3 linked regions of the Lonchura striata genome follow. The protein of the gene in region 2 binds, or shares a complex with, the protein of the main gene of each other region. Links are inferred from orthologs where the notes say so. Each region holds a gene or a part of one and is shown on either strand. Other genes may lie near its edges. The genes, in order: GNB5, RGS7 and GPR158.

The links.
Region 1: the proteins of RGS7 (region 2) and GNB5 are in contact, whole or in part, in a cryo-EM structure (PDB 7EWP), measured with the Homo sapiens proteins. The link is inferred for Lonchura striata from reciprocal best matches to the Homo sapiens genes RGS7 and GNB5. Residues at the interface, in NP_001351815.1 of Homo sapiens: Pro19, Leu22, Val23, Lys26, Val30, Ile72, Val76, Glu77, His80, Leu81, Leu84, His88, Val207, Asp213, Ile214, Lys215, Lys216, Leu258, Gln261, Ile262, Trp265, Gln266, Gln268, Leu269, Arg271, His272, Arg273, Leu274, Lys275, Met276; in NP_057278.2 of Homo sapiens: Leu57, Glu60, Ala61, Glu62, Leu64, Lys65, Leu68, Glu71, Lys74, Leu75, His76, Asp77, Val78, Glu79, Leu80, Val83, Leu90, Phe93, Arg98, Arg99, Leu109, Lys117, Arg118, Ser134, Phe135, Trp149, Met151, Leu167, Tyr197, Ser206.
Region 3: the proteins of RGS7 (region 2) and GPR158 are in contact, whole or in part, in a cryo-EM structure (PDB 7SHF), measured with the Homo sapiens proteins. The link is inferred for Lonchura striata from reciprocal best matches to the Homo sapiens genes RGS7 and GPR158. Residues at the interface, in NP_001351815.1 of Homo sapiens: Gln35, Ile43, Ser55, Arg109, Phe110, Thr112, Pro113, Tyr114, Phe115, Lys134, Thr136, Lys140, Ala141, Arg142, Leu143, Leu145, Ala146, Asp147, Ala150, Leu153, Gln157, Trp164, Phe168, Met169, Gln170, Glu172, Ala173, Gln174, Lys176, Val177; in NP_065803.2 of Homo sapiens: Leu507, Lys508, Phe510, Leu511, Arg513, Thr514, Tyr595, Tyr598, Ala599, Thr602, Val603, Pro604, Ile714, Arg715, Leu718, Lys719, Tyr722, Leu725, Glu726, Tyr728, Lys729, Arg730, Met733, Ile734, Thr735, Asn736, Asn737.

What each region holds. Positions count from the first base shown.
Region 1 is NC_134613.1:12,598,022-12,607,839, reverse strand, and holds the start of GNB5 (guanine nucleotide-binding protein subunit beta-5), read right to left. Parts: upstream 4,291-9,818; 5' UTR 4,172-4,290; coding exon 4,060-4,171; intron 1-4,059. UniProt on the Homo sapiens protein: Enhances GTPase-activating protein (GAP) activity of regulator of G protein signaling (RGS) proteins, such as RGS7 and RGS9, hence involved in the termination of the signaling initiated by the G protein coupled receptors (GPCRs) by accelerating the GTP hydrolysis on the G-alpha subunits, thereby promoting their inactivation.
Region 2 is NC_134605.1:47,577,560-47,587,487, reverse strand, and holds the start of RGS7 (regulator of G-protein signaling 7), read left to right. Parts: upstream 1-6,109; 5' UTR 6,110-6,139; coding exon 6,140-6,217; intron 6,218-9,928. UniProt on the Homo sapiens protein: GTPase activator component of the RGS7-GNB5 complex that regulates G protein-coupled receptor signaling cascades.
Region 3 is NC_134603.1:139,910,512-139,919,705, forward strand, and holds the start of GPR158 (metabotropic glycine receptor), read left to right. Parts: upstream 1-4,847; 5' UTR 4,848-4,939; coding exon 4,940-5,811; intron 5,812-9,194. UniProt on the Homo sapiens protein: Metabotropic receptor for glycine that controls synapse formation and function in the brain. Acts as an atypical G-protein coupled receptor that recruits and regulates the RGS7-GNB5 complex instead of activating G proteins.

The sequences.
Region 1 (9,818 bases), on a different chromosome or scaffold from region 2:
GCTGATGGTTAGAGAGCCCTTCATCAAAGCTCTGCCCTGGCTAATATCTGTTTATGAGTAATGCCCCTGGAGGGATTCATCCATGGAGTTTGAATCCATGCTGCAGTGAGCTCTGCCTCAGAGCTGGCAGGTGGCTAACACCCAGGTGGGCAGCACAGGAACATATTCACCAGATAAAGACAGGGATTAATTCACTCAGGGTTGAATTCCAGGGATGTAGCAGCTGAAGCTCTTGCAGACCATCCCACCCAAATATAACTAGAAAACAGATTACCCCTTTCCCCCTCTTTACTGGGAAATGTTCAGGCCTGCAGGTGGACAGTCAGGTGCTCTGGAGGTGAGACTCCCAGCTGCAGCACTGTGGTGGTGCAGTGAGTACAGGTACTGGCCACGGGCACTGGTGACTCTGCTGTGCCATCCCTCTGGTGCAGATGGAGGAGAAGGGCCAGGACACAGCTCTGAGTGAGCAGGAAGCTGGACATTTGCTGTAAGAGTGCACTACCCAACCTTTCAACATCAAGGGATGGATGGACATTTTTGGGATGTCCCTACTACAAAAGAGGGAAACAGGGCAGGCAAGCAACCTTCCTGAGCAGCATCCTCTGGTGGAGAAGTCAGTTCTTTCACACCTCATTTAACAACAGTACTTTCAGCTGATGTTCTTTAAAACCCAACAAATTTACATTTCTTTTTGTGCAAACTGACTTTGACATAAAATTCATGCAGCTGACACAACTGAAAGGTGTCTCATATAACCCTGATGCCTCAAACTGGGGTCATCTGTAAATGTGTGGGAGAAAATGTCATCTGAGGAAACCTATTTGCACTGCTCCAGTGTGTTCATCCAGGGTGGAGCTGAGTAGGGCCAGGATTTATCTCAGCACCCAGGGGCAGCTCTTCACACACAGGGAGGTTGAGCCTCACTTCAAGTCCCTCAGCAGAGTAGAGATCCTGAGGCTGGAGACTGGCACCAGAGTTAAAATTTACACTGTCTAGAGGAGAGCTGATAGGATTCCAGCCCTTCCTGTGTTGTGTGGCTGCCCACACCAAAACCTAAGATGATCCAGCTGCTGCTGGTTGTGGGATCAATGCCTGGCTCAAACCTTCTGAAATAAAGGGAGAAGCTCACAGGCTTTAATGAGCTGGAAGAGGAAATTTTGAGCTTTTCACTGCCCTGCTGGAGACGGAGTTCACCCCGTGGCAGGTGGTGCTTTGGAGCTGCCTTGCTACTTCACCCTTCATCACTTTTCTGGGGCTGAAGGAAAGCTCACAGGCTGGGAAGGGCTGTGACAGTGACAGAGCCACATCCTGAACTTACAGATCATTTCTTGGCACAGGCTCAGTGAAGCAATTTCTGCCCAAGGCAGAAACTGATTTCTAGTGGATTGCCTCTTCAAGAGTTGTCTTTCAAAGCCACCAGCCCCACAGGCTGTGCCAGAATAATGCTGTCAGCTGAAATCTCTGCTCAATCAGTCTCCCTGAGCCAGGGGACAAGCACTGTCCACCATTCCTCACCATCTGTCCCTAAGTCAGAAGCAAGTTTCTGAGAAAGTACTACATAAACCCACTGAGGAAAAGATACATTACCCCTCCTACTGCCCAGAGAAACCTGCCAAATGATTCCATCAAAAGAGATGAAAACACAGGACAGGAGGTTATCATGGCAGCTGGAAAGAGAATATCTGAAAAAAACAAACCTTTCACAGACACTGGACAAACTGTTCCCATTATGTCAGTGAAGCTGAGATTCTATGAAATTGTCTGGTCTAGCTTCACTGATTCTCTGAGGATGCTTATCTCCAACCACAGCCACAACAATCCTGCTCCTGCCTAGCACAGGTTTGAAAGTCAGATAGTTATTTTTAACCATTCACCAACATTGTTCAAAGATAGTCAAAAATCAGAAAAATATATTAGCTAAAGCCAGTAAACAGCTTGAGTCCCAATAAAGCTGCCTATTTTTCTTAAAAATATTGTTTGGTCTGGACAGGAGGTGTGGAATTGATGGGTCTTGGGTCTTTGATATTTTCAGTGTTGAGTCTAATGGTCTCTCTGGCCTTAAAAATTCATGGATTGCACAAACAGAACAAACTTTTGTCTACACCTAAAATTTTAAGCTCTTGAATCGACTCCTGAAAATTATAACATTGCAAATCAAATGCATATTTGGCATTTCCATTTTCTAAGCACATTTTTGGGAGCTGCTGTTCAGAACCAATTGAACAAATAAGGGCAATCTATTTCAGCCAGCTATTTCTTTTGGGAACCACAGAGGGAAAGTCATGATCCAAGCAAAAAAATGCACAAGATGCAATTTTAGATTAGGGGAAAAAAGCCCAAACCAATCAAGCAAAAATCAGAAATGATGCCTTATTCTGAAACTTACAAACGCTGCAGAAATACTACTTGGAAATAATTTAAGTGTAAAAAAGCTCTGATACAGAATCAATGATATAAAATATCCTAAGGGAGCATTGTTTTACAGCAGCATAACAATTTTGTCTTAGAAATGCTGTAATGGCTTTGCAAACACAGCTTTCCAATGGAAATTAACAGATTTTATATATGATAAAGAATATCCCATGACTATCAATGGCACACAAAGTTACAGTACCACTGTAATCATAGGTAAAATTTTGTGAGCAAACATAGGTTTAAGAATATTCTTAAGAGGTCTGTTAACCAAAGACCCTGCCACTTCTGATACAGAAATGGTACTATAGGAATATGGTCATTTATGGTAATGTTTCTGTAATGAGGATGTTTCTGTTTAACTATTTTGATTAACAGGACATTAATATAACATAATTGTCTAACTTAGACAAGAAAATGTTCTGTTTATTGCAGAATATATTTATTTTATTGCAATCCTTCCCAACCTGAAAATCAAGTGTTTTTCATTCTTACAAAACACTAAGAACTAAGCCACTGGATAGAAGCTCGGATACCTTTTCAGTGCTTAAAGCATCCAAACACATGAAAGAAAAGTTTTAATGACCCACTAATATTTCTAATAGAGTGAGCTACATGATTTCAGAGAGAAACAGTAACTTACATGTTTTTCTAAAAAAACAAAACCAGAAAAAAAAAAAAACCAAACCCGAACAACCCTGCAATGTATCATTGTAATTATAGAATGAAATCATGAAAATAGACGGATTTTTTGTATCTCAGAACTTGTGAACGCCTATTTGAAAAGCTCCATTAAGGTAAGGTGAGCTTCTTTCCTGAAGGGGGAAGGGGACAGGGGGAGGCCCGGGCTGAGGTCTGTCCATCGCAACTCCGGTGGGTTGTCCCTGGATCCTGAAGCTGCAGCTGATAACGGAGATTTCCACACTGACAGCTCCAGCACTGACTCACCCGCACCTCGCAATCAGCACTGCATCCCTGCACCTTGTGTCCCTGGCAGAAGGGGGGCAGAGGAGCTGGGTTTGGAAACAACGCTCCTTTTAAAGCCCTTCCACACCTCGGGTGAAACCCCGGCCTCAGTAAAGCGAATTCCCATTAACTTCCACCCGGCTGGGGCTCACCCCGGCCGCTGACACTGCCCCCGAGCGCTGCGGGCCAATGCCGGGCGGTACCGAGGGGATTTCAGGCTCCCCGCCCGGCTCCCAGCCCCGCCGGCCCGGGCCGGAGCTCCGTGGGGCCGGGGATGCTGCGGGGCCGTGCCCGGCCCGAGGCCTGCCCCGCACCCGGGAGCCGCGGGCTCGGCGGGGCCCGCCCGGCCCGGGGCACGGCGGGCTCATCCCGGCCCGGGGCAGGCTGGGCTCATCCCGGCCCGGGGCACGGCTGGGCTCATCCCGGCCCGGGGCAGGCTGGGCTCATCCCGGCCCGGGGCACGGCTGGGCTCATCCCGGCCCGGGGCAGGCTGGGCTCCGCCCGGCCCGGGGCAGGCTGGGCTCATCCCGGCCCGGGGCAGGCTGGGCTCATCCCGGCCCGGGGCAGGCTGGGCTCAGCCCGGCCCGGGGCCCGCCCTGTCCGCCGCAGGGCCCGGGGCAGCGCCGCCGCTCCCGGCCCGGCCCCGGCCCGGCCCCGCCGCCCTTGCCCGGCCCCACTCACGCTCCACGTCGTGCAGCTTGGCCCGCTCCTCCTCCAGCTTGCCCTTCAGGCTCTCGGCCTCGCTCTTCAGCGACGCCAGGGTCTCGTTCTCGTGCAGCCCCTCGGTTGCCATCTTTGCAAAGGAAGCGGGGAGAGCGGGGATGAGAGCGGCAGGGAGGAGGAGTTTGCCAGCCCGGCTCTCGGGGATGCTGCGGCGGCTCCTGCTGCCTCAGCAACGGCGCCGGAGCCGGCCCGGGCTCCCCTCCCCTCCCCGCTGACGTCCAGGCCAGTCCTGAGCACGCACACCGTGGGGACCGGCATCCCCGCTGCTGCCGGCTGCAGCATCCCCGGCGCTGCCGGCTGCAGCATCCCCGGTCCTGCCGGCTGCAGCATCCCCGGTCCTGCCGGCTGCAGCATCCCCGGTCCTGCCGGCTGCAGCATCCCCGCTGCTGCCGGCTGCAGCATTCCCGGTCATGCCGGCTGCAGCATCCCCGCTGCTGCCGGCTGCAGCATCCCCGGTCCTGCCGGCTGCAGCATCCCCGGCGCTGCCGGCTGCAGCATCCCCGGTCCTGCCGGCTGCAGCATCCCCGGCGCTGCCGGCTGCAGCATCCCCGGTCCTGCCGGCTGCAGCATCCCCGGCGCTGCCGGCTGCAGCATCCCCGGCGCTGCCGGCTGCAGCATCCCCGGCGCTGCCGGCTGCAGCATCCCCTGATCCAGTATCCCCGTGGTCTCCAGGCCGGCAACTGGGACCAGTCTCACCTCCTGCCTCGTTCCTAAACATATCCCAGACCCTCTTCAAAGCCCAGAGGTTTCATTTCCCCAGAAACACATGTTGTTGGATTTTTCTGCTGCATGCCTAAACTTGTCTGTACAAGTTGCACAATATGGGGAAAAGAAGGGGGGAAAAAAGCCATCGGTCACCCCAATGGCATTTTAAAACATGAGACTGGGAAGACATATCTTGTCCAGAGTTAACAAGTCCCATCTTAGCTCCATCACTCCCTGATACTCCTATGGGTAGGGGGTACTGGGAGAATCAGCAATGCAGGTCTCTGGTCGTGGGCCAGCAGGACAGATGCAGTAGTGAAAACTCTTCTCTCTACTATGCTTTGAATTCCTTATTTTTAAAATCGGTGTTATCAGGGTTCCTTTCCTTTTTGTTTCTTCCCTTTAGACAAGCTACCCCTTGTATATTCTACTCTTAGATGTGCACATTAGGGTCTGTCGTGTTCCCATCTCTTGAAACAGAGCAGTTTCCAAAATCCCAAAGATGTAATAACTAGACCCCCACTTTAGTGTGGTGTGAGCCCAGGGGCTGAGCTGTTTGGGTTCTGCTCATATGAATGTGTGCTGGGCACAGGGAGCAGCTGATGCTTCCAGAGAAAGACCCATGGCACATAGCTTTTTGTTCCCTGGGAGTTCCTTGAAAAATGTTCCCTTTTTATTACAGAATTGTCCTTGATCTACAGGGAGTAACTCTGTGCAAATTAACTGCCATTATCTCCCTTTAGCCAGAAAATAGACAATCCAGTGGCTATTGTTCAACCTGGGGATGTGCCAAGATTGGAGAGGGAGATAAGAAAATGTTTGCAGCTGTTGTTTGGCCTCTGGGCCCATCCTGGACAAAGTGTGGGTCTCAGAGAAAATAGAAGTCCCTTCCCACACTGGGTTTAGAAGCAGCGTTGCTGTCCAGCTGGGATGCACAGGCAGAGCTGCTGAGCTCTTCACCATCACTTTGGAGCTGAACTCAGGCCCCGGTCTGGCCATGTCCACAAGGTCCCTTTTAGTCAATGGCTCTGCAGGCAGAGCCCGAATGCAATCAAGTGTGAATCAAATGCAGTGGCTCTGTTTCCAGTCTTCTCACTGTCCACAGAATCTGGTGAGATCTAACTCAACCAGCCTGATGGCCATGTAGGCAACCCTGAACTCATCGATCCAGTTTGTGTTCAGAATCACAAAAGAAAATGCAGGCAGTATAAGTTCACAAACTGCTGGATAAAGGAACATCCTTCCAAGCCCCCAAGAGTAACCAGCACATCAGAAATACTTCCCATGACAGACTATGCCAAAGAAATAAAAACAATATTTTTTAAGTGATACCAAAAGAACAGAAAAAAAGCCCAAAGATCTTTTAGCAGGAATGTGACAGAAAGCTTCTTCCAATGAATTATCTTCAGGTCTGAAAAATTAAAACTACTTATATTAAACTCAATAATGAAGCTGTGTCTTGGGGGACTAACAGAAGTAGATTCTGAAGAAGAAACTTCATTTTTGAAGGATTCTAGTCTATAACAAATGCCTTATCTCTGTCACCTGATAAGTGCAGAGAGGCCCAGAAGTTAAACCCAACAAAAACAGCATGTAGGAAATTTCTTTGCCTTGATAGGAATGCATCAGCTCTCAGGGATTTGGCATAGATAACACCTATGTGTCAGACAGTTGGCATAGTTCTAAGAGTGAAAAATTCAGTTTCTTGTACTGATGTGAACAGTCTCACTGTCTTGTGGAATGGGATTTAAAAGTCTACAAAGAACAGCACAGAAGGTGAGAGTCTTTGGGAACCCACATGTGCAGGCTGATAGGTGATACTAATCCTGAGATTATGGGGTCAGCAGAGCCAGGAGGTGATAGGGAAGCCTTTCCTGAACACACTGAGCTGTAGAAGTGTGTGATACATAATGTGTATTTCATTGGTTTGGAAAAAAAATTTAAAAGTATTTAATTCATCTGACCAACTCCTGCTTAACTGCCCATGTCATCATTAGCTAACCTTGCAAAAATACAGGCAAGGCCAATTGGGTGCTTTCAATAAAATGAACCAGCGCTGAATTAATTTAGATGATAGAGCAGCACTACATCAACGAGTGCCACACATGGCAAATACACCAGATTGCAGTGATGAGTGATGGGGATCCATGGAAGAAGGTTGGTCCTGCTCTGGTAATAGTAACACTGGGGAAAATAAAGGATCTAGCAGTATAAAACAAATTGTTGCCTACCTCAAAAGTCAGGCCTTTAAAATAAAGTTTCCTTTCTCACTAATTCACCAGCTGATCTCTTTTCAAGTTGTAAGCTAATTTTGTGGTGAAACTAAAGCAGCAAACATTGAGTTTCTAATGATTAGCGCCAAACTCCAAAGCAAGCAAAACCCTAGAGGAAGAAGATTATTTTGTCTATAAGGCAAACAATTGAAGTAAGATGATGTCAACACTGGGAATCAGCAACTTCTAATTCTGTTATCCCTGGACATATGTTGTTTTTGGGGAAATCACCAAGACTGGCTGATGAAAATGCATGTGTACATCTGCTGGACTGAAATTAGGAGTTGCATGGGCACATTAGGGAGCTGCAGGAAGATCAGCCAGTTAGGCACCACAATATGTACATGCATCCACAAACACAACTGTGGCAAAGTATATATTGTGCATTTTGATATAAGCCAAAGCATACACACAGCTCTGAAAAAAACGATTTAAAATCAAGGATGGAATTTCCCCACTGTGTGTATGTGCAAAGAGCTCTCTGTGTTCTGAATATCTGCTTTTAAACCTTTTAGAAACTATGAAGCAAGCTAAAGCCAGATCTACCAGCAAGCCCCAGACCCCTCTGCAGTGCCAACAGGAAGCCTAACAAGCTGTTAGGTACTGATGGAATTCCTCCTGAAGTCTCATTCTGCTTCCACCTGCCAGCTGTTCCAGCTGCTAGAAGTCTGACATCCATACTGCCAATAACAGGGAGAAAGTTGCAGGAACTGTAAATAACAAACAGCCAGTTTCCTGCAATTCCAGCAGGTATTTATCAAGCCTTGCAAAAATTTACTGAATAAATAGCCAAGAAGGCTGTTGGCCAAGAAGGACCTGAACAAAGCAGCAATTTCAGTCAGGAGAAGCAAATAATCTGGGAATGGACTGCCTTTTGTCTTGCAGTCATTACATCTAAACTTCCTTCTAAACAAAGCAATGCATGGGAATGTGCTGTGTCAGGCAGTAAACTGTACACATGTACCACCTACACCTCCAAATCAGTGCTCTCATCTCCCTGTACAGCAGTGCCATGTAAACACAGCTTGATAAGCCTTTCAGCATTTCTGCAGAGATCATTTCATCTGACACTCAAATACAACAAACTGTTGGACTCTACGGTAGAGAACACTTCTGGGGAGGAAACAGTGATGGATGTCATCTCCAACTGATAATGCACAATGGTTAAGGGAGATAAAATAAAACTATTGCAAGCTGGGCAGCAAAATTCTGAAGTTTACAAAAGGGGTTTAGGAGGCCAGCTCTTCCATAGCCACATAGGTTCATGACCTTAGCTGTTTATTTCACCTAAAAAAACCCCACCATGATGTCTCTGGAGCAGAGCTCCCTACCAGGAGAGTGGGATATCACCTCACCACTAATTGCTGAAACTTAGAAAGCCTCCAACAGAAGACATACCACTGCTCTGCAACTTTTCCCCATCTTTCCATTGTAGCAACTTCCAGCTCTCACCCAGGTACTGCAGATAGCCCAGGAGACACCCTGGTCACAGTAGGAAATGAGGGCACAAAGGAGTTGTGACAGCCCTTCACTGGTGTCTGAGACAGACAGGGTGAATGTATCTCCTGTCTAGTGAATGGCTTTGTTGTGATGATTTAATCTTTTTGTTGTTGTTATTGATAAGTCCTTTCAAAGGCAAGTGGGAAACCCAAGATCATAGGCCAAGCAGAGCACACATGTATCTCAGGGAAGAGATGGGCACATAACATTTACACAGCAATGTGGTACCCTGGGGTAAAAAGCTCCTGGCCAATTTCCAATCAAGAATCACAAAACTAATCCTTGAACCCTGGGGCCACCTTGCTTTGTGGAAACACCAGGTGTCTGCAGAGGTGTTTGTTTGGCAGTCTGTGGGCTAGCAATGCTTATTTGCTCTCCAGAAAAATCCAACTTCAGCGAGCGCTGCTGCACTGCCGCGTTTGCGCAGGACGTACCATCTCCACGCAGAGCGAGCAGTAGCTGCGCTGCTCTGATTTCACAGACACGGGCCTGAGCGGCTTCTCTTTGCTGCACTTGTCGCAGGGACCAAACACAATTGCTAAAAAGGTCTGGTCCATCTTGGTGCCTCACGGGAGCTGCAAGAGAAGGAGGAGGAGAGCATTCATTCCAGCCCAGCACAAAGCTTCCCACCGCTGCTGCGCCAGCTAAGGAGCCTAGGCTGTATATAGGCATCTGTAGGCTGCATAATCTCCCTCTGTGACTAATCTCCTGTCACTGTATACGTGACAGTCACATGCTCTGCAGAGTCTTTTTTATGAAGAAAAACATGTAGCAAAACATACACACCATTATAATATGTGCTGTGCATATGGATTCACTACATGTGGGAAAGTATTTTTAATTTGTACTTAGCCACTGCCAGCAGACAATAACCTGAAATCCACAGCAACAGCTGGACTTCTGAGAAACCTGCACCGATCAATACATTTTATTTTTTCACTGCATTATAAAATAGTCATTATTATGCATTATCTTTAAAGCTGAAAATATGACCTAATATTTGGTCAGCAGCAGCTACAAAATATTATGGCCAATATGCTGTTTGGGTCATTACAAATCCACTTTTGTTCTCAAGCCAGGCATCTCTAAGATCAAAGCTCTATCACCAACAGAGTATTAAAAACCACTTCAGAGTCAGACAAACAAATGAGAATAATATTGCAGTGTCATTTTTGTCTGTACATTTTTCATAGGGAAAACGGGACCTTTCACTTCTTCTAAAAATGGAAGTTTTAAACA
Region 2 (9,928 bases):
AATTAGACTGAAACCTCCATATTTTTATTTTTTTTTCTTCCCTGCAGGTTTGTTCTATCCCTCCATGTTTGATTGATTTCTCCAGCTTGTAACTTAATGTAAGATCACAGCTTATTAATCACAGGTCTTCCAGGCAGTTTTAAAGGAACGTGGTGTGGTGTTTCATTTCTGTAAACACTCTCACTTTTTGATGAAATTATGGTGTATAACCGGTTGTGCTAACTCTTTTAGGAGGGGAAAAAATTCCTAGTAGTGTGTCAGCCAGCTATCCTAGCTTCTCTCTCTTTGCCTGAGAAAGCCTGCCCTCTTCTGGGTGAAATTACTACTGGATAAATTGTCAGGGCTGCAGTGGAACTGCTTGGGGTTGTTCTGCTTTGTCGGGAGAAGCTGTTGGCTTTCCATGAATAGCTTTGGTGGGCCACTATATTGATACAAAATTTTATGTAGCTGTGGACTTTCTGTTACAATTAACAGTAAGGGATAAAATTTGTTGCTTTAAGGTTTCAAATATATGCAAAGTGTACTGTGTTCTCTGTGGGGGTGTGTGTATATCTGTCTGTCTGTCTATCTATCTATCTATCTATCTATCTATCTATCTATCTATCTATCTATCTATCTCATACTTAAAAAAAAAAGATTATGGAAATATGTTTTTTCCTTATTTCTAATAATTTTGCATTCCTGTGAAATTATGTCTGTCCACGACTCATTTTTTCCTATCAGATCAGATTTCTTTTTGCTAAATCCAGATTTCTTTTTGGTTATCTCCTTCTCTTATGTTATAAAAATATCTTTTTGTGTTTTTTAACTCCTTCCCTAACTGACAGAATACTAATATTCTTTTTTGTCAGTGTCATAAATTGACAAAGATAATTAATATTTCACTAGGGTTGTAAGGTAGGTGACAAACCAGATTCCTAGGGTGTAAAAAAATGAAGAAAGTGGTGAAGTTTCTGTGAGTCCTGGTTCAGTTCTAGAAAATACATACTGTGACCTGTAATCATCATGATGACATTTGAAGACGTACATTAAACAGATTGATTGCAATTCACTCCTGAAGGAGCAGGTGTTCAGATCTCATCAAAAAGGCCAAAGGCTGGGCCTGGAATCACTAGGTACCTGCTCAGAGCTTGGCAGTGAAACACTTGTGGTTTGGTAGGGTCACAAATATATGAATTTGATTAAAGTAGGCAGGTTCTCTCTGTGCTTAGCTGGCTAGTGAAATAAAAAAAAAAAATCTGGGTTTTATAATTTAAGGTAGCACAGTATTAACTCACTCAGTGTTTGGAGTTCAGTTAGCATGTTTACATTATTTTAGTAAATTTGAATGTGGTTGTTTATAATGCTCTGAAGTGTTAAAAACTTGGCCATAGAACAAGATCATGCTGTGCTAAGAGCTTGCACAGCATATCTTTACTCCAAGGGACATTTAGTCTAGGCATAAGAGAAGATAAATTGATGGATATAGGCGGCATACTGACATAATGCTACAGCATTGGCCAGCCGGACAGACAGCAAAATTTCTGGTCATATCCAGATAGATTGTTGTACACATCCTGACGTAATATTTTTTACTTAAAATTGCCACGTGTGTGATGTTATTGGAATACTTGAGTTGTACTGACAATGAAAGCTAAACACAGAAAATGTAGTCACCACCTTGCTCAATCATGTGTATTTTATTGCCTTGTTAGATAAAGCTGCCCCTTGGCAGCCTTTCCTCATCATCTTTGTTTTATTAATGAGTAGATTTGCCTTGCATTTTGAAAAGGCCTTTCCTCTTCTGGCAGACCATGCTTTCTGGGGAGGCTAATGCTGGTTGTATATGAGATAAGTGATGACTTCCAAGATGGGAAAGATGTGTAATTTATGAATTAAAGCTTTTTATAGCCTATCGAACAAACACACCCAAGTACAATAGAATGAGACTATCTGGTTACATATATTTTAAATAAATGATCTTCTTTCTATTTGCATTTTTGAAAGTAGTCCAGCCCAGTTCTTTCACCATCACCACAAAGTGATGGCAAAAAGCAAATTCTGTTGGTTTGTTTCTAGTTTTCTGTTTAACCCCATTAGGGTTTAGAGTTCTACTTCATTTAGGCAGTGGACATGCTGGTGAAAAAAATTTAATGTGCTTCAGTGTTGCAGGTCTTTAATTGTGAGATACATGACTGAAATGTTTAAGGTATTCCTCTGGCTCTGAGGACAAGATTAAAAACTATGGAATATAGTTCCTTTTGATGTTACTGGAGAAATACCTATTAACTTCCATGGGCCCAAGTAATTGGTCTGCTTTAGAACTGCATTTATGTTATTAAAATTTGATTATTTTCAAAGAAAATATATAAACATTGCCTATTGATATAGGATATTATATTTTACTGTACTTGTAAAATAATCAGAATTGTTAAAACAAAATAAAAGCAAAGGCAAAATTGGAGGCAGCACAGCCAAAATCTAACTCAGTTTGGTATACTTCTGCCCTTAGTTTTAAGGACATTCTCAGAAAATAAAAACTTGGAAAATGTTGCTGCCTGAATTAGTCAGCTTTGCTGGGGAGCTTTCCAAAGACACAGAACTGCTACCAAAATCTATTTGCAGAATACTTTATAGAAAAGTAGGTAGTTTGAAGTCAGCTTTTAAGTAACTTCATGCAGGTAGTCCAGGAATTGTAGTCCAAAATGGTTTCATTTTATGTAGATTGTTTTGTCCCTTACATTAACAACAAAATGAGGCAGAGTAAGAAAATAAATATTTGCTCTCATTGGAAACTTGCTAATGTTTGATTTTTATGCTCTTTAACACAATTACTATGTTTAGTGGCTGGCAGAACAAATGAAAATAATATGTCTTATCAATATTTTTAAAGATTTTCCTCCTATCCCTCTTTAAGGGTAAAATTATATTTGAATTATATTTTGTGCAGTTCCCATTTTTACTCTGAAAAATAAATTTAAACACCAGTTTGATAAATAAGATTTTATTTTTATGCCATACAACCATAAGGGTGTCACTTGCATTTTTAGCAGATCTTGGAGGCATTTCCCTTGTCTTCTAGTGCACCTGTCAGACTTACAAAGTCAAAGCACTGAGCTCTGAACACTGCAGTGCTGCTTGCCTGGGATGTCTGTTTGAAAATAGACTGAGATCTTTATTCCTGGTTCCCATTTGCCAACAGTGGGCTGAGCTGAATCAGAGAATCTGTTGGAAGATTAATATTTTGATCCTGACTTTATTAGCCTCACTGAGATGCTATTGTATGTAAAGTGAATTTTACTGGGAAACAGGTATTAGTTCTCTGTTTAATCTTTGGTTTAATGAATTCCTCTGCCAAGTACTTTCAACATTGATACTTCACATTATGTTGTGCTGTTGAATTCTTTCCCATGTTCTCTTCCACCTCAAAACTCCAGAGTTCTCTCTTTTCTAGCACTATTTGTTTTCACATTTTCTTTTCCTTGTGACATGATAAATTATTCTCCTCTATCGAAATTGAGACACACAATGTCTGTCTGCTTTTCTTTGCAACCAGTGTATCTCACTGAACAGAGTTGATGGTTCTTATTGTGTCATTTCACCTTTTATAACTTCTGTCTCTTAAAAACATTCCTATTTGTGATGGAGATCATCTGTCTTTACTCTGATGTTCACTCTAGGACCATTATCAGACTTATGTCTTCTTTTCCTCAGTTCTCCAAGAAGTCCAATTGGTTCTGTCCTTTGTCCTTCATTTTGTTGTTGCCACTGTGACTCCCTATCAATGCCTGAGCTAGCTTACCACATCCTCTGCTAAAGTATCTAAAGGCATCTGCAAAGTTTGGAAGAGTAGTTAAAATTAGTTGCAGCAGATTATAATGACAAACTTCTTGCAGGATAGCGTCGGTTTGAGGCTCTCTGAGATGTGAGAAAGGTAGAATAAGTAAGAGTGAAGGTGACCCAGTATGCATAGAAACCTCTGCTTGAATTGCATGATTTACAAGCACACACTCCACAAGGTGCAGTGCACAGTAGAGGATTCTTTTGCAAGATCATTCTTGTAATAAGAGCTACTGTTTTCAGAAAAGACAATTTTAAATCGAAATATACCAAAGCGTAACCACTTAAGTACTTTGTGTTCTTGTGGATGTTGAGTTCTGGGCATTTCAACCCCCTTGCAAAAGCATTCTTGTCTGCATGTGTTGGGAAAGTAAAATTGAGAGACCTGATCTTTTTCTTCTACCGAAGCTAATGTGAGGCCTTCACAAATTAGGCAGTTGCCTAGGACATGGCAAAACAGTCCCGAGGGTGTCTTGAGGTGTCCTCAGGGTTTCTTCCTGTCTGCCTGGAACAGGTTCACTCTCTGCTCTCTCTGTTCCACTGCTCAGTGAAGTCTGCAGTGCCAACAGAGCACAGGCTCTCCTTAGTTTTCCCTGAAAAATATACATGAGGTGTCCAGCATAAGACAGAGGAAGAGGCAGATTCCCTGCTGCTGTCGGTAGGGAAATATGAAGGAGATGACACAGTTTCCCCAACAACTACCCTTTTCCTTCCCTATCCCATTAGCCCACATTCTCTTCCTGCCCAGCCCACCGGTGATGCCTAATCTCATTTACAGAGGCTTCTGCCAGATCTGCTGGCAGCTGCAGTTTCTTGGCCGCTGTTTTCGGTGAGGGAGCCTGGAGCACTGAGGAAGAGGAGGAGAAGGAAGGAGGAGGAGGAGGAGGAGGAGGAAGGCTGCTGCTGTGTGGCGGAGCGGCGGCAGCGGCAGCACCTTTGACGTGCCCGTCCCCCACGTGACGGCCGCTCCATTGCGGGGAGGGAGCTGAGCTGCCGCCGCTCCGGCAGAGCACGGGAGAGCCGCAGCCTCGGCGGCGGCAGCGGCGGCAGCGCCTCCGCCCGCAGTGCGTGTGTGTGCGTGTGTGTGATGAGCGATCGCCGCGTCCCTCCGCCCGCTGCCGGCTGACACCCACCGCGCGGGGCGCGCCAGGAGCAGCAGGAGCAGCCGAGGAGCCGCGGCCAGCGCGCAGTGACCTTGGCCCAGGAGGTAACCGAGCGGGCGGGCTCCGCGCCCCTCCGCGCCCCTGCCCGCGCCGGAGCCGAGGCCGCGCTGCCGCCGGGCCCCGCGGGCGGCGCCGCCGCTGTCCGCGGTGCTGGAGCCGCGGGCGCCGCGCCGGGTGCCCGCGGGAGAGCCGGTCCGACCGGCCTTTGGCCGCCCGGAGCCGCTCGCCCGGGCGCTGCGGGGGCAGCGCGGGCCAGCGGGCGGACGAGGGGCAGCCAAGCCCGAACGCCAGGCGTCTGGGGGGCTGGGGAGGGCTCGGGAGGTTAGTGCTTGGAGTGGGGCTCGGCGGCTCTCCGGGCTCTCCGCATCCGCCGGCGCGGTCTGTAGATGGAGCACATTCTTACACCTGCGTGCAAAGCCGGAGCTACGGCATGATCCGAGCTCTTGCTTGGTGCAGCTCCCGTGTGACCCGGGGGAGGGCGGGGAGGAGACGGGGCTGGCAGGGAGCCGGTGTTTGGCGGTAAAGTGCGATGAAAGTAGGTGAAAGCAACCGGAACAGTGTTCTGGCTTATTTCTTCCTTTTCCCTCGTCACCTGCTCCCCTGCCCCCGCGTATGTACGAGCACAGATGTGCTGGAGAATTACAGGGAGCTTCAAAGCGTCTGGTTCGCTTTTCGTGCGTTTGAATGTTGTGGAAGTTGCTAGGACCCGAGCTGCGAGCGGAGGGCACTGCTGAATGCACGTCACGGGCCGAGTCAGTCCTCCCAAAACTGGCCTGGGAGGTGCAGAGCGTCCCTTGGTGAAGCCCGTGCAGCGGAGGAGGAAGCCCTCTGTGAGGAGGCGTCTGTGTGATGTGGTGGTGAGCGGTGTGTCAGGGAGCTGTTCCCCGTGACAATTCATTAACGTTTAAATTAGATCAACACGTTACCTCCATAATTTACCAGCAAAAGGGAGTAATGACAGTAAATGGCGAATTAGCAGCTTCGCTCCCATGTAAATATCTATTGGAGTGAGCGCATACACTGATTTTGATAACATGTTGGTAGCAAGGCAGGTCCATTAATCATCGGGGAAGTAAGGAGACCTGAGGTGATGCCCTATTGAAATCACTTTTACCTTTTACAGTGCAACATCCAAAAGCGGATCAAATCTGTGGGACATGGCACAAGGAAATAATTATGGGCAAAGCAGCAATGGGGTGGCTGATGAGTCCCCAAACATGCTGGTGTACAGAAAGGTAAGCCTTTGTATTTTTCAAAAGCCGAGGAAGGTGAAGCCCTGGACTTCTTTGCCTAGCAAGTGAAGCCATTATTTTTGCTGTTTCTCTCCAATTTATTGAATAGAGAAATGACTTTATCTGTTGAATGGTTTGTAATGGTAAAATCTTCACATGTCAACTTTGCATCTTGTTCAGAAGCAGCTGCTTTTCAATTTGAGATACTTGATGTATTTCAGTCACTTTCTGCATTGATACATACAATATTTGATGGTGTGACATGCCAGAGACTGGACCATGTTTTGAGGTCAAATGTTCACTTTTAAAGTTTATTTGTAAAATGATTTCATATGTATTAAAGCTAAATATTAACTGTACAATACAGTATTTCTGGCTTGTGCAGAGAAGTCTGAACCATTAAATTATTTCATATGAGGGGGAAAACTGATTAAAGATCTCACTTATCTGTGGTTGCCACAAGTCAAAAAGCCCTGAAAAACATACACTTTAGAATTTTTCTCTGGGAAGACTTCTAGTGTGGTTATTCTTAGAACATCAATACACTAAATTTCCAGGTATTGAACTCTAATAGTGAGGCTTATTCAGTAATTATGCATTAATTTAAATGAGAGTAAATGCTTGGAGATTTTGAAATGCCTTTATGCATTGCATATTTTTAAAAAAGCCTTAATTGTATCTATGAAAAAAAAATAAAATAAATTTTAATAATAATGGAGAAAAAATAATTTTCCTGTTGCAAACTGAAATAAGTAATTATACAACTGCTTGTTTAATCTTAGAACACAGTGCTTCTTAAGTTGTTTGTGGTTATTTTTACCAGGTGAAAAAAAATCAATACTTTACTTTGTTAGAGGCATTGACTTTTCCTCTTACAAGTTAACTGTAATAGAAAACATCTGATATATAATCAGTTTAGTCTTTGAGGTGAACTGAAGTATAAACACTAACTGTGGTAAGTGTTCTTTTCCCAGAAAGTAAAAAATAGTCTCAAATTGAAGTCTGATGCATGCTTTTTTCTCTTCCTGTTTTCAGATATGTTGCTGATTTCATTTAGTTTGTTGTATCGGCTATTTTGTGAAATTAGGCTCCTTTTACATAACTGAATGAATGTATGGATCTAACTGTAGTTATCCTTCTACTAATGCACATCTAGAAAAAGACAGGATTACCTTGTGATTAACACAAGTGTGTTTCAAAAGGCAACTGCATACATGAAAATATGCTGCACATATGAAAAGCAATATACCAGCTCTTATATTGTTCATTATCGACTTTTGATCTTTCTAAACAGATTCTTTCCACATTTTTCATTTACTTCAATGCTGGCAAAAAGGTCTTTTCTCAGCTTATTTAGGACTCAGAGGGACAGCACAGAGAAACTATTTCTCTCTTCCTTTGGTGGGTTTGGTAAAATTTGTGACCTCTGGTGTTTAATATGACTTCATGCCAAAATTTATCATGGCTCTGGGCAACTTCACCTCTGAGCAGCATCCACATTGAATGGAACAGCTGAGGCAAGTAACAAGAGTCCTGGTGATGCACAAGAGATTTGAAAATGAGGAATGGGAATAGGACATGCCACCTCAGCAAACCAAGACATCAAACACCTTTTTGTTCTCTGCGATACATCGGTAAAGGGATGATATGAATTTGTGTCCTTCAGTGCAGCAGTTGTTACTAAAAGGACAACTTATTGTCCTTGTCACTAAGTCACTAAGAGCACAAGTTGTGCTCTGAGTATTAAACTTTGAAAAATACTGACCTTCTACAGCATTACCTGCCCTATTTGGGCTCTTTTTTTTTTTTTTTTGCCTACTTATTTTTCTAGCAGAGTGAATTAAACATAATTTCGGATTATGTACACTGTGTTAGATTACAGAGAGAAAACTAAGTAGCCATTCGTTTGGCAGTACTCAACAAAGAAGCAACAAAACAATAGATAACTTTTCAAGAAGTCGTCTGCGTTTTCTTGAAATAGAATATTGGTGTAAGCAAGCATGTTCTCAATTTTGGATCTGGAACATAAAAGGAAATTTGTCAAGTGGAAATCATGTCACTTTATCATTATAATCTCTGAGTATAATTCTTTAGCAGGAACAACTAAATCACAGAATTTCTTGTAATACATTTGAAAACACAATACTTGTCTCTGTGTTGGGAATGAAAGCACTGTATGAACAAAGAACTAGTTCTGACAGTTTCATGAAGGACTCTATTTTTTGGCCAACTGGAAATGTATTAACAGTTTTTAGAAAAAAATATAAACATGCTGCTGGCTGAGTTCAGTCTGAACTGGATTTGAAGTCTGGTATTTTGAATAATGTTGCTGAAATGCACAAAGGTGGAAATGCTTTCTTCCAGTTGTTTATACATCAACAGATGGAAAAGCACACATTTTGTGATGTCTGTACTGGGACATCTCTTACTTACGTTAATGGAGAGTTGAAATTTGGCTGTGCTGTGAAGGCTGTTATTTTGGCTATATACCACAGTTTTGTAATCTGGTAATTCTTCCAGTCTGTCTAACTTCCAGACACAATCTGAACTAAATATATTCTGAACTACATGGAGTTACAGCCCTCTATTGCCTAAATCTTGATTCTGTCAGGAGCGTTTTATAAAAAATTTTATACAGAATGAAGTCCTAGTGTTTTCAAATTTGGTTTTTAAGACTTAATTGCTTCAAACTCTTGACAAAAGAAAATGGCCAGCTTTCTATTTTTTAAAATGTATTTGGTTCTTGTTTAGTTGCTTATTTGAAGAGTTGAACAATTGATAATCATATTGTAATCTCAAGTAATATAGAGTGTAGATAGTGTCTTATTCTAATAGTAGTTTTTATTCCTAGCTGAACAATGGTTTCATTACATTTAATTTCATTTCTTTTCAAAAAAGATTTTTTTAAAAAAATCAGCATAGTATAATTCAATATTCAATACACACATAACTAAAAATAACTTATTTGAATCAGGAAAAGATAGCAGCACAGATAAATAGTTCCCTATATAATTTTTACTATGCCTTTTAAGATGCTTGTGTCAGTGTTTTTATGCCTTGGGGAATAATTTTTATTTTAATAGAATGTCAGCTACATTATCCTTTTTGTCTATCAGCCTAGTTATAAAGTAATGACATGTGACACATCATTGGCACTGACATACCTTAGAAAAAGTCCTGAATTTTTCTTCTGGTAGCCTGAGGCAAATATGAAAAATGTAAAACCCCTCCTTTCATTTCTTCTCTGACAGAGTCCATTCCAGTCAGCAATTAAAAGAGATAAGAGTCTGAAGTCCATAGTATTTTAACATCACAAATTGCTCATGCAGAAATCTCATATTTTGGCAGCACTAACTTGCTGCTGCAAGCTACGTCTTAGGGAAGAAACTTGACATGTAGTAGTGTAGTTGAAGTTCTTCTAAGTTTCAGAGTCTGACCAGCCTGTTTTTTTTTTTTTCTTTATTTTTTTTCTTCTTTATTTTAAAACTCTGCATACAATTAAAAGATAAATAATTTTCTGTATGGGAACTTCTATTTTAGACCTACTGCTGATCTTGCTAAACCTTTCTTTATCTTTCTACTTTGCTTACTTTTTCAGTCAAACATATGCTGCAACTATTAGGAGTTCTGATTTGCAAGTTTAATGGCTATTGTGTTGCTGCCTGAACTAATTTCATTTGAGAGCTGATAGCTTTATTTTGTAGCAATGAGATT
Region 3 (9,194 bases), on a different chromosome or scaffold from region 2:
TCTGGAGGTTATGCTTGATAATGGGAGGCCTTGTCTGGGATGCCTAGAGAAGCAGGCTAACAGAATGGATAGTTAAGAAGAGAACAGTAGGGCCAACAACAATTTTGGAAAGCAAAACATAGCCTGTTATGAAATTTGATTAACTTAGCCCAGACAAAGAAAAAAAGGAATAAGGCAAAGTGGTCTTTTGTAGACAAATACTAGTTTATGGTGATTGTGCTGTGATAAGAAGGCAAAGAAACAAAGTAAAGAAGACTTGGAGTATATTATGTGGTCCCCTCACCCCACACCTGGTTCATGCAAATGAACATGGGTTGCTTTCTTTGATCCAGCTGTGAGTTTCATGACATTCGTAGAAGCTTGTAGATCTCTGTGAAACTTACCTGAAATTAATTAAAGGTATCAGAAGTCACTGGCAGGCAGACAAAAAATATTGCTGCTAGAATGTTATTTGTTTAAGTACTCAAGCTAAAAGTAGATGTACTTTTAGGAATACTTTACTTTTCATGTATTTTTAATTACCAGAAGCAGCAATTTTTATCAACATGTTGTCTCTGTTTTGTGAGAGAAATACAACACAATTTTAAAAGTTTTGGTACTTACTCTTGTGTGTATTCTCTGTATATCTCCTAAATAGTTTAGGACAAAGACTAATAAATGAGTCTTTAAATATATTTCACAGCTACAACAGTCTTTCCTTGCTCCCAATGCAGTAAATGTGATGATTTTAGCATTTCAAATAGTTCAGATAAACCATGATCTTTTTGCATAGACCATATTTGAAGAAAGTAAGCTACACTTACTCTAGTTTGTTAATAACATCTAATATTTTGCACTATTGTTCTTTCTACACTGTAATTAGATTAATGTAGAGCTGACTTCAGTCCTGATAGGCAATACAGTGAATTGAGATGCTGCATGTACAATGAGTGAAGCAATTGCAAGGGTTGTAAAAACAGAAATATGCAGGACAGTGGTCAGATGCCTCCTCATTCCTTGCAGTGGATGGCTTGATGGAGCACTTCTGACAGAATTGAGGCAGAAGCATAGGAAACATTATTTAGTCAGAGTAATCTTGTGTCTCAGGGGACTCCCAGTCCATTTTCACATTGTCTTGGTCACAGCTGAACAGATTTCTGACATAATCAACTGATTACATATAACAGTCCAGAAATACTAATGCATTTTAATATTAAAATAAAAAATACAATGATCACATGTTTCTACAGTCCTTAGTTGTTACAGTAGGCCCCTAGCTGAGTAATAATTAACATTGGCTCCATGATTGTAGAAGGCTGGTTGTTTTAATATATAATTTTACACTATATTATACTATACTTATTAGGAAACTCAGTAACTTTTACAGCCAGTCTGATCTAGTTTTGACCTAATTGGTCAATTAATCTAAACAGTAATTAAGAAATCACTTTTTGGTAAACAAATCTCTAAAATATATTCTACATGTGCGCAACAACAAGCAGCAGTAAGTGAGATATGAATGGTTTCTCATTTTTTGCTCTGATCTTCTCACAGCCTTCCCTGGGAAAATGCCTGGGAAAATCTGTGCCTGCTCTCTGTGGTCAGAGAGAGTTGCTGCCACACTTAGTAAACTTATGTAAATAAAATATTTGGTAGATTTCCTTAATCTAGGAGGATACTATATTTCCATATTACCAATTCCCATGGATCTGGGTCCCATGGCATAGTGTTTAGAAAGCTGTAAGAAGATGCACATTTGCAATGGCTTAAAATCAGTTTGTGTCTCATTTTGGACCTGGCTGTACACAGTAGCTGTTTGGGATCAGCTCTGAACTGATTGCAGAAGGAAGCCCTAAGGATAAAGGAGGCATCTTTGAACCCTGTGTGATACAACTGTACAAGACTCAGCCATGCTCCTGGCACCTTGAATGAGAAAGTCCTCAATAAACCTCATCCTCTCCCTCTGACTCAAAAGTGCCAGCATAGAGACCAAACACCCAGAGCAGACTGATAGGACAGCAAAAAGAGAGGCTTCTAATGCTTGAGATTAAGGGAGACTTCCAGCATCTGGGAGATGTGCACTAACCCTTTTGGGACTTTGCTCCTGGCATAGCTAGTGAAGGACAAGGAGCAGGGGGATTGGTGGGTGCCACTGTAGAAGGGTATGTGGAAGGACCATGAGGTGATTAGGAAACACAAGGGACTTACCATGCAAGTGCATGGAGGGGAGAGTCGATTATCCTGAGAATGTGTGAATGTGGCCATTGGATTATCCTGAGAATGTGGCCATTGAGCAGGCCTAGTGCAATTCCAACAGGTATTGATAGTCAGGCTAAAGTAGGGAAAATGAATTTTCAACAGGGAACCAGCCTTTCCTTTACAGCAGCTCTTGTCTGTCAATAAAGAGAATTAGCCTAGGCACAACATTAAAAAATGTGTCATTTATTATGCCAGTGATATCTCTCCATGTAACAGATCCTACGTTAGTTTAGCTCAGTCCTGAGAACTGCTGCTGTCAAAAGCCCTAGTTCTCCCTTATCCACAGCAAATGATGCATCTTTAGGTATTTGCTCAGAGCAGACTTGGAAATACAGACTCCCTGTGCTGTGCTAAACTGTAAATACCAGCTTCTGAGCTTCTCAGCATAAGCAGTTTCTAAATCTCACAAACTATTCACTTGAGGGAAAGTTCAGTACAAGTACATTGTTCTTACGTGTTGAATATCCTCTTCAACTGCATGCAGCAAGAGACAAAAAGAATTTCTAAATTTCTCTCTTAACCAACAATATTATAATTATTAAAGGTTTCCATAGGTAAAGACAAAGTTCACAGCATCACTGGGATCTATGGACTGCAAATGTAATTTACATCTAGCTATCTTGGAGTGACTATGCCATCAAGTGTCATTTCAAATAATTCTAAAATAAGATTATGCTTTAAGAAACAGATATAACTTGTCAGTGGTTTAAAATTAGATCATATATTCTGCATAACTGAAATCTGCTCCTAGGATGTGCATGCACATGCGTGTGGGGGAGAAAAGAAAAAAAAAATGGTTGTCTTTTACTACTCTTTTCATCTGCACTTTTGAATTCCAAAATGGAATTTTATATTAAATGGGAATGGAATGTAGTTAGGAGATTTTGCCATGGACCACCTCCTCCAAAACTCACCCTTTGCTGTCTCCTGTCACAAATCCCTCATCCATTAGTAAGATAATGAGCATGTGCATAATTCTGCATAAGAAAATGCACAAAGTTAAACACATGTTGAAATGTTTTATTAAACCAGATCCTCATTAGTAATCATGATGCCTTATCTGGAAAATCCAGATAAGCATTTGTATTATTCCAAGGGGGTTTCCACAGAGCAGGAGGAAAGCTGAGCGATCAGCCTGTGCTGCTTCGGCTCCACACAGGTGCTCTGAAGGTCAGTGTTAAAAGCCACTGGATTAAGGATTTAGTTCTGAAAACAGCTGTAGGAATTAGCACCTTGGAGTTAAAACACTAAGGGGAGAAAAAGCCCACGGTTACAGAAATACAGCCAGCCAGGCAGCGGAGCTGCAGGGCGAGGGAAGGTGCTCAGCGCCCGCTCCGGCGGGATGCTCTCCGTGCAGCGGCAGGCGAGGCGCCCGCGGGCGGCGGGCCCGGAGATCCCGAAGGCGCCTTTGCCCTTTCCCACACAAACGTCGTTCCCTTCGCCAAACGCCTCCCTCCCGGGCAGCCCGGCAGGCCCCACGCGTCCCGGGGGCAGCCGAGGATCAGCCTGCGCCCCCTCCACCCACCCTGGAAACGCTGGAAGCGGGAGCGCCTTCCCCACAGGGCACGCAGCCCTGACAGGCATCAGCCCACGCTGCGGATCTGGCTGGAACTGCCTTCCCCCGCAGCGCCGGGCTTCTCCTGATCCCGGAGCGGCGGAGGAGGCACGGAGAGGGGGATTTTGGGCATCTTGACCCCCCGCTCCTGCGCTCGCCCCGCGGCCGCTCCCGCGGTCCCGCCGCCCGCCCCCGGCGCGGAGGCGCAGCGGCGCCGCCCCAGGCCCGCCACCAGGTGTCGCTGCCACGCGCCGCGGGAGCCCCCCGGGCCGGCGGAGCCCCCGCGGATTCCCGCCCGCGACTCCCGAGCCCCGGGAAAGCGGAGCGGCTCCCACCGGGACGGGCGCCCGCCCCGCCTCCGTCCCCAGCTGAGCCGGCTGCAGGTGAAGCCAGGTGCCTCGACGCCGCTCCGCGGCAGCAGCACCGCCTCCCCCGGCACCGCACGGCGCCGTCCTCCTGCCCCGTGAGTGGCTGCCGGCTGACTGACAGGCGAGGCGGCCACATAGGGCGGCCGCTGCCTGGCGTACACCTATAAGGGCCGGTGGCGAGGAGCGCCGCGCGGTGTGGGGTTACCCGCGGCGGAGCCGCCCGGTGACCATCCGTCCTCCCACGGCCGGGCGTTCTCTCTCGCAGAGCCGAGCGGAGGCGGGTGCCTGTCCGCTGACTGCTCCCCAGCAGCGGCCCCGCCCGCCGATCCCCGCAGCAAGTGGCAGTCCCGCGCCACGGGCCCTCCTCTCCGGCAGCGGCGCCCGAAGGATGCGGAGCGGCGGAGCGCGGGCGGCGGCGGGGCGCCGCGGGGGGACCCGCCGCTGCGCCGGGCGCGGGCGCCGCCGCCCCTGCGCGCTGCGCCGGGCAGGAGCTCAGTGAGCGCGGTGGCCGCGGCGGGAGGAGGCGCAGGAGGGCTCGGCTCTGCTGTCGCCGGAGGGGCTGCGCGCCGCTCCGCGCCGGCGGTGGGGCTGTGCGGAGCCCCGCGCTGGGGAGGCTGCGGGCGGCACCGCCACAGGTGACTCGCGGGCCGGGGGTCGCGTTCCGCCCCGCTGCCGCTCGGCCGCCTCTGCGCGTTCGCACCCCTGCGCCGCGGCCGCCTGCGCGCAGCCCGTCTTCAGCCGCCTCGCCGTGCCGGCGCGACCGGCAGCACCGGGGGACATGGCTTTGCTCCGGCTCCTTCTTCTCTTGCTCCTCGCCCAGCGCGGGCTGGGGGCTGCCGCCGACCGAGGGCAGGCAGTGCGCCGCCGGGAGCGGGCGCTCGGAGGGAAGCAGCCTATTTACAACCACATCAAGAGCCGGGAGCCTCTGCCGGCCCCGCGGAGCCGCTCTACAGAGAGCACCATCTTGGCGCAGCGGCTCGCCGAGGAGGTGCCCCAGGACGTGGCCTCGTTCCTCTACACGGGCGACTCCCGGGAGTTGCGGCGAGCCAACTGCTCCGGGCGGTACGAGCTGGCCAGCCTCGCCGGCAAGTCGCGCTTCACCTCTCACCCCTCCCTGCACGGTGCCCTGGGCACCCTCACCCACGCCACCAACTTACTCAACATGATCCTCCAGAGCAATAAGTCGCGGGAGCAGAACTTGCAGGAGGACCTGGAGTGGTACCGCGCCTTGATCAGGAGCCTGCTGGAGGAGGACCCCAACATCTCCAGGGCCGCTATCACTCTCAGCACGGAGCCTTTCTCCTCCACTCCCCAGGTTTTCCTCCAGGCCAGCAGGCACGAGAACCAGGTCCTCCTGCAGGACTTGTCCTCCACGGCTCACCGCCTGGCCAACGCTACTGTGGAGACAGAGTGGTTCCACGGCTTGAAGCGCAAGTGGAGGCCGCATCTGCACAGGAAGGTCTTAAATACGGGCCCCAAAACTTTGGAAAACAGTTGGAAGAGGCGGGAGAGCTTCACTGCTGATAAGAACCACATCAGGTGGTCCTCGCCATACCTGGAGTGCGAGAATGGGAATTACAAACCTGGCTGGCTAGTGACCCTCTCGGCGGCTTTTTATGGGCTGCGGCCAAACCTCCTGCCCGAGTTCAGGTAAGAGGAGTGTTCTGCTTCCTTTCTGTTGAGAAAGGGAGGGGGGAAACAGGATGGACATTTGGTTCTGCCCCCTCCTAGGGAAGGGCATTCTGGTCTCTGGGTGACCTGATCAAGCCCTGCCTCATGGGCTGCTCAGTCACACCGCAGAGCAACCTCAGGCCTTCCTGTTGAGCTGTACCTTCGTGCCTTCGGGAGCTGTGGCTCCTTAGAAGAATCACAGTCATCTCCGTCTGTAACACAGCGTTTGCTTTACCTGCTCCCATCGGAGCAGCCGTGCATGTGGGTTACATTCCTGGTGTGCTTGTGGGGAGAGGTGAGCAGCAGTTGCCAGTTGAAGTTCATCTGTGTCAGCAAGAGGAAACAACTCTCTGAATTGTTATTTTTTACTCTACTGCAAAATTGAACCTAGCTGGTCCCCAGCTATGCTTTTAACCTGCTGGGAAATAACATTGTTGTGCTGATAAACTGCTGCTTCTGGTCTCCAGAGCACATCCACTGTGGGGTGCTCGAGCCCGGTCAGTGGTAGTACACTTGTAGGTAAATCAGTGCTGGTGACTGCCGTTCTGTCATAGTTCATGGGGCTATAACCTGAAGTGGCAGTAGGGGAGCTTTCCTTTTGCACCACCAGCTTTATATTTGATACCTGGCATATGTAAAGGTTTGCTTAATTTTTATTGCTTTATATACTTTTTTTGCTTTTATATACTTTGCCAGTGCACTGCAGCTAACAGAAATGAAGATAGAAAGAGGCCCTTTCTTGTGTCTTTGTATCTTGACACCAAAGAGGTTTGCTCAAAGAATGAGAGCAACCTGTGAAGTGTGAGATGCCACTTTTTCCCCTGGCATTCCTGCAAGGGGTTCACAGGTAACTCTGTCCAGTGGGGAATGCGCACTGCCCAGAAGCAGCTGGCATTTCTCAGGATGAGAGAGAAGCAGAAGACTTCTTTTGTGCTATGAATTATATTAGTAGGTAAAGATTGATAAGAATGTAGCAGACACCAAAGAGATTTTGCCACACCTAGGTAGTAGCAAGGCAATAGTGTCTGTGAATGCTGTTTCTCTTGGCTTAGTCTGAAATCCAGTGCAATCAAACAGATATGAGTACAGTCATAAATCCTTGAAAAAATTCAAAATTTGTTGAATGGATAATGGCTGCTTATTTCTCTGTTGAATTAATTTTTGCCCTGAAATTTTCACACTTATGGGGATGATAGGGTTAAGGTAAAATGATCTCAGCTGTAGGCTGTTTGTTGCTGAATTCCTCTCGAGACTAAAACCCAGGAATAGGTCTACTGTAGAGCTCTTCTGGACCCTAGGGAGTCCAGAGAAGTCAGGAAGCTTGTCAGAGATCATTGAAATGCAATGTTCAACATTTGATGAAGCTCGGGATGTGGATGAAAGTTAATGTAGGCTAATATTCTCTTGTTGGGGATAAAGTTTGGCAGAACCACTAGGCTGGAGGTGTGGTGGCAGCCATAAACCATCTCTCTGAGAATATAAATTTTGATACCAAGTTTAACTCAAAGAAGCTTCAATCTTGACTTAATTGAAGGGGAAATAAACACACGTTTTAAGGAAAAGAGTCTAAAGCTCCAATCCCAGCTCTGTGCTAGGATTCTGTGATGCCAGGAAGCATCTCAGTGGTGTAGGTTTCTGCTGTGCTAGCTTTGGGGTGCAGAACACACCAGGTCTGTTTTGGCGTAACCCTGGCCACCCACGGCAACCAGTAGATGTTCTCCTGGATGTAGTGCAGAGCACTGCCTTCCCTGCCTCATCTTCCCAGCCTCTGCTTGCCACGCGGGGGTCACTTCCATTCAAGAAATACTAGAATAACTTGTTATAACACTGACACTTCAAGGGGCATTCACTGAGATCATCTAAGCTTGGAGAACCACTTCTTATTTAGAAGATAGTGAGATGGAGCATGTTGTGCAAGTTCAAAGTGTTGTATTGCTGTTATACTGAATAATTAGGACAAAACCAACAAAGATTTGTTGTATCAACAGAGATAAGTTTGTAAGCATTTCTAAAAAACGGATTATGTTTTTTGCCAGACTATTAAATAAACAGAAGAAATAAAATTATAAATACTTACACATTCTGCCAACGATAGTTCCTGTGCTCCTGATTTGAGGTATGCTAGATAAAAGATGGGCTTAAATATAAGGTTATTACTTGGGATATTGAGAAAGTAGCTTCTCAGCTACACAGAAAATGGTATGCACAAAATATGCTTCCAAGACTTGTAGTTTGTCTCAATATTTACACAGTGTTTTTAATACTTAATAGGTACACAGCCTCAATGCGAATTTTTAAGAGAAAAAATGGTTTAAAGCATGTGGAAACATGAATTGAAAAGTGTAACATCTAGTTATTGGAAAATTAGTGTGTGAATTACTAGAAGATGCCTCTTGAAGTGAGCTTCCTCTCACCATCAGTCTTTGAGTGAAACAATATTTTGAATTTAAATTCTTATTTAAGGCCCATATGAAAAAACAGTTTGTTAACCTCCATCTTTTGAAGTAGCTATGCTGCTTCTCCCCAAAATGTATCTTTGAACCATCTGTTAGAAACATTTTAATGAATCGGTTACCATGCTCCTCCCATTTAGTAGTCTGGTGTGATATCATTAATGTTAATTTAGTGTATGCCTCCTTATTATTATTCTGTCAGTTTTTGTACTTTCTTTGCTCACATTAGATTTAATGCATGGTACATTAGGGTGAGATTCATTAAGGAACATGCTCTATTCATGAGAGTTCTTTCACATTACAGAAGGAAAAGCCCATTCTTGGTATCTCTTCTGTGACAGCAACAGATGGGTTTGTTCATGTGGCGTAGCAATGGGAAGAGTTTAATGAGGGCAGTACTGGTAACTACTACTGGCTGTGTTCAGTGCATGCTGCTACAGCAGTGCTGTTGTCAATGGCATTCTGAAAGTGCAGCACAAAGCAGCAAGCTTTCTTCTTAGCATTGTGAAGAGTTACAGTGCTTTTGGCCTGAGGGGGCTCTTGCAGACAGCTCAGTGTCTTCAATTTCTCCTCCCCCCTTCCCAAGAGATTACTGCCCAACTGCCCCAAGTGAAGGCCAAGGAGGGAATGTGGTTAAATGTAGCAGTGTGGGGTTTAGATGGTGGTTGCTGCTGCCTGTACCTTATTTCCCAACACTGCTATAGTTAAGTTGTCTTGCCATTACTAACACTGTAGACAAGTGCTCAGGTGAAGTGGATAAACCAAAGGCAACTTGATTGTACTGATAAATGTACCAGAAGCTGTTCAGGGCCACATTCACCTAGTACAATGCCAAGGTAGCAGTGCTGGCTCTCTGCAGCTTCTTAGCAGGACTTGATGGTATTTGGTTGGTCTTTCCACCCAAAGTGC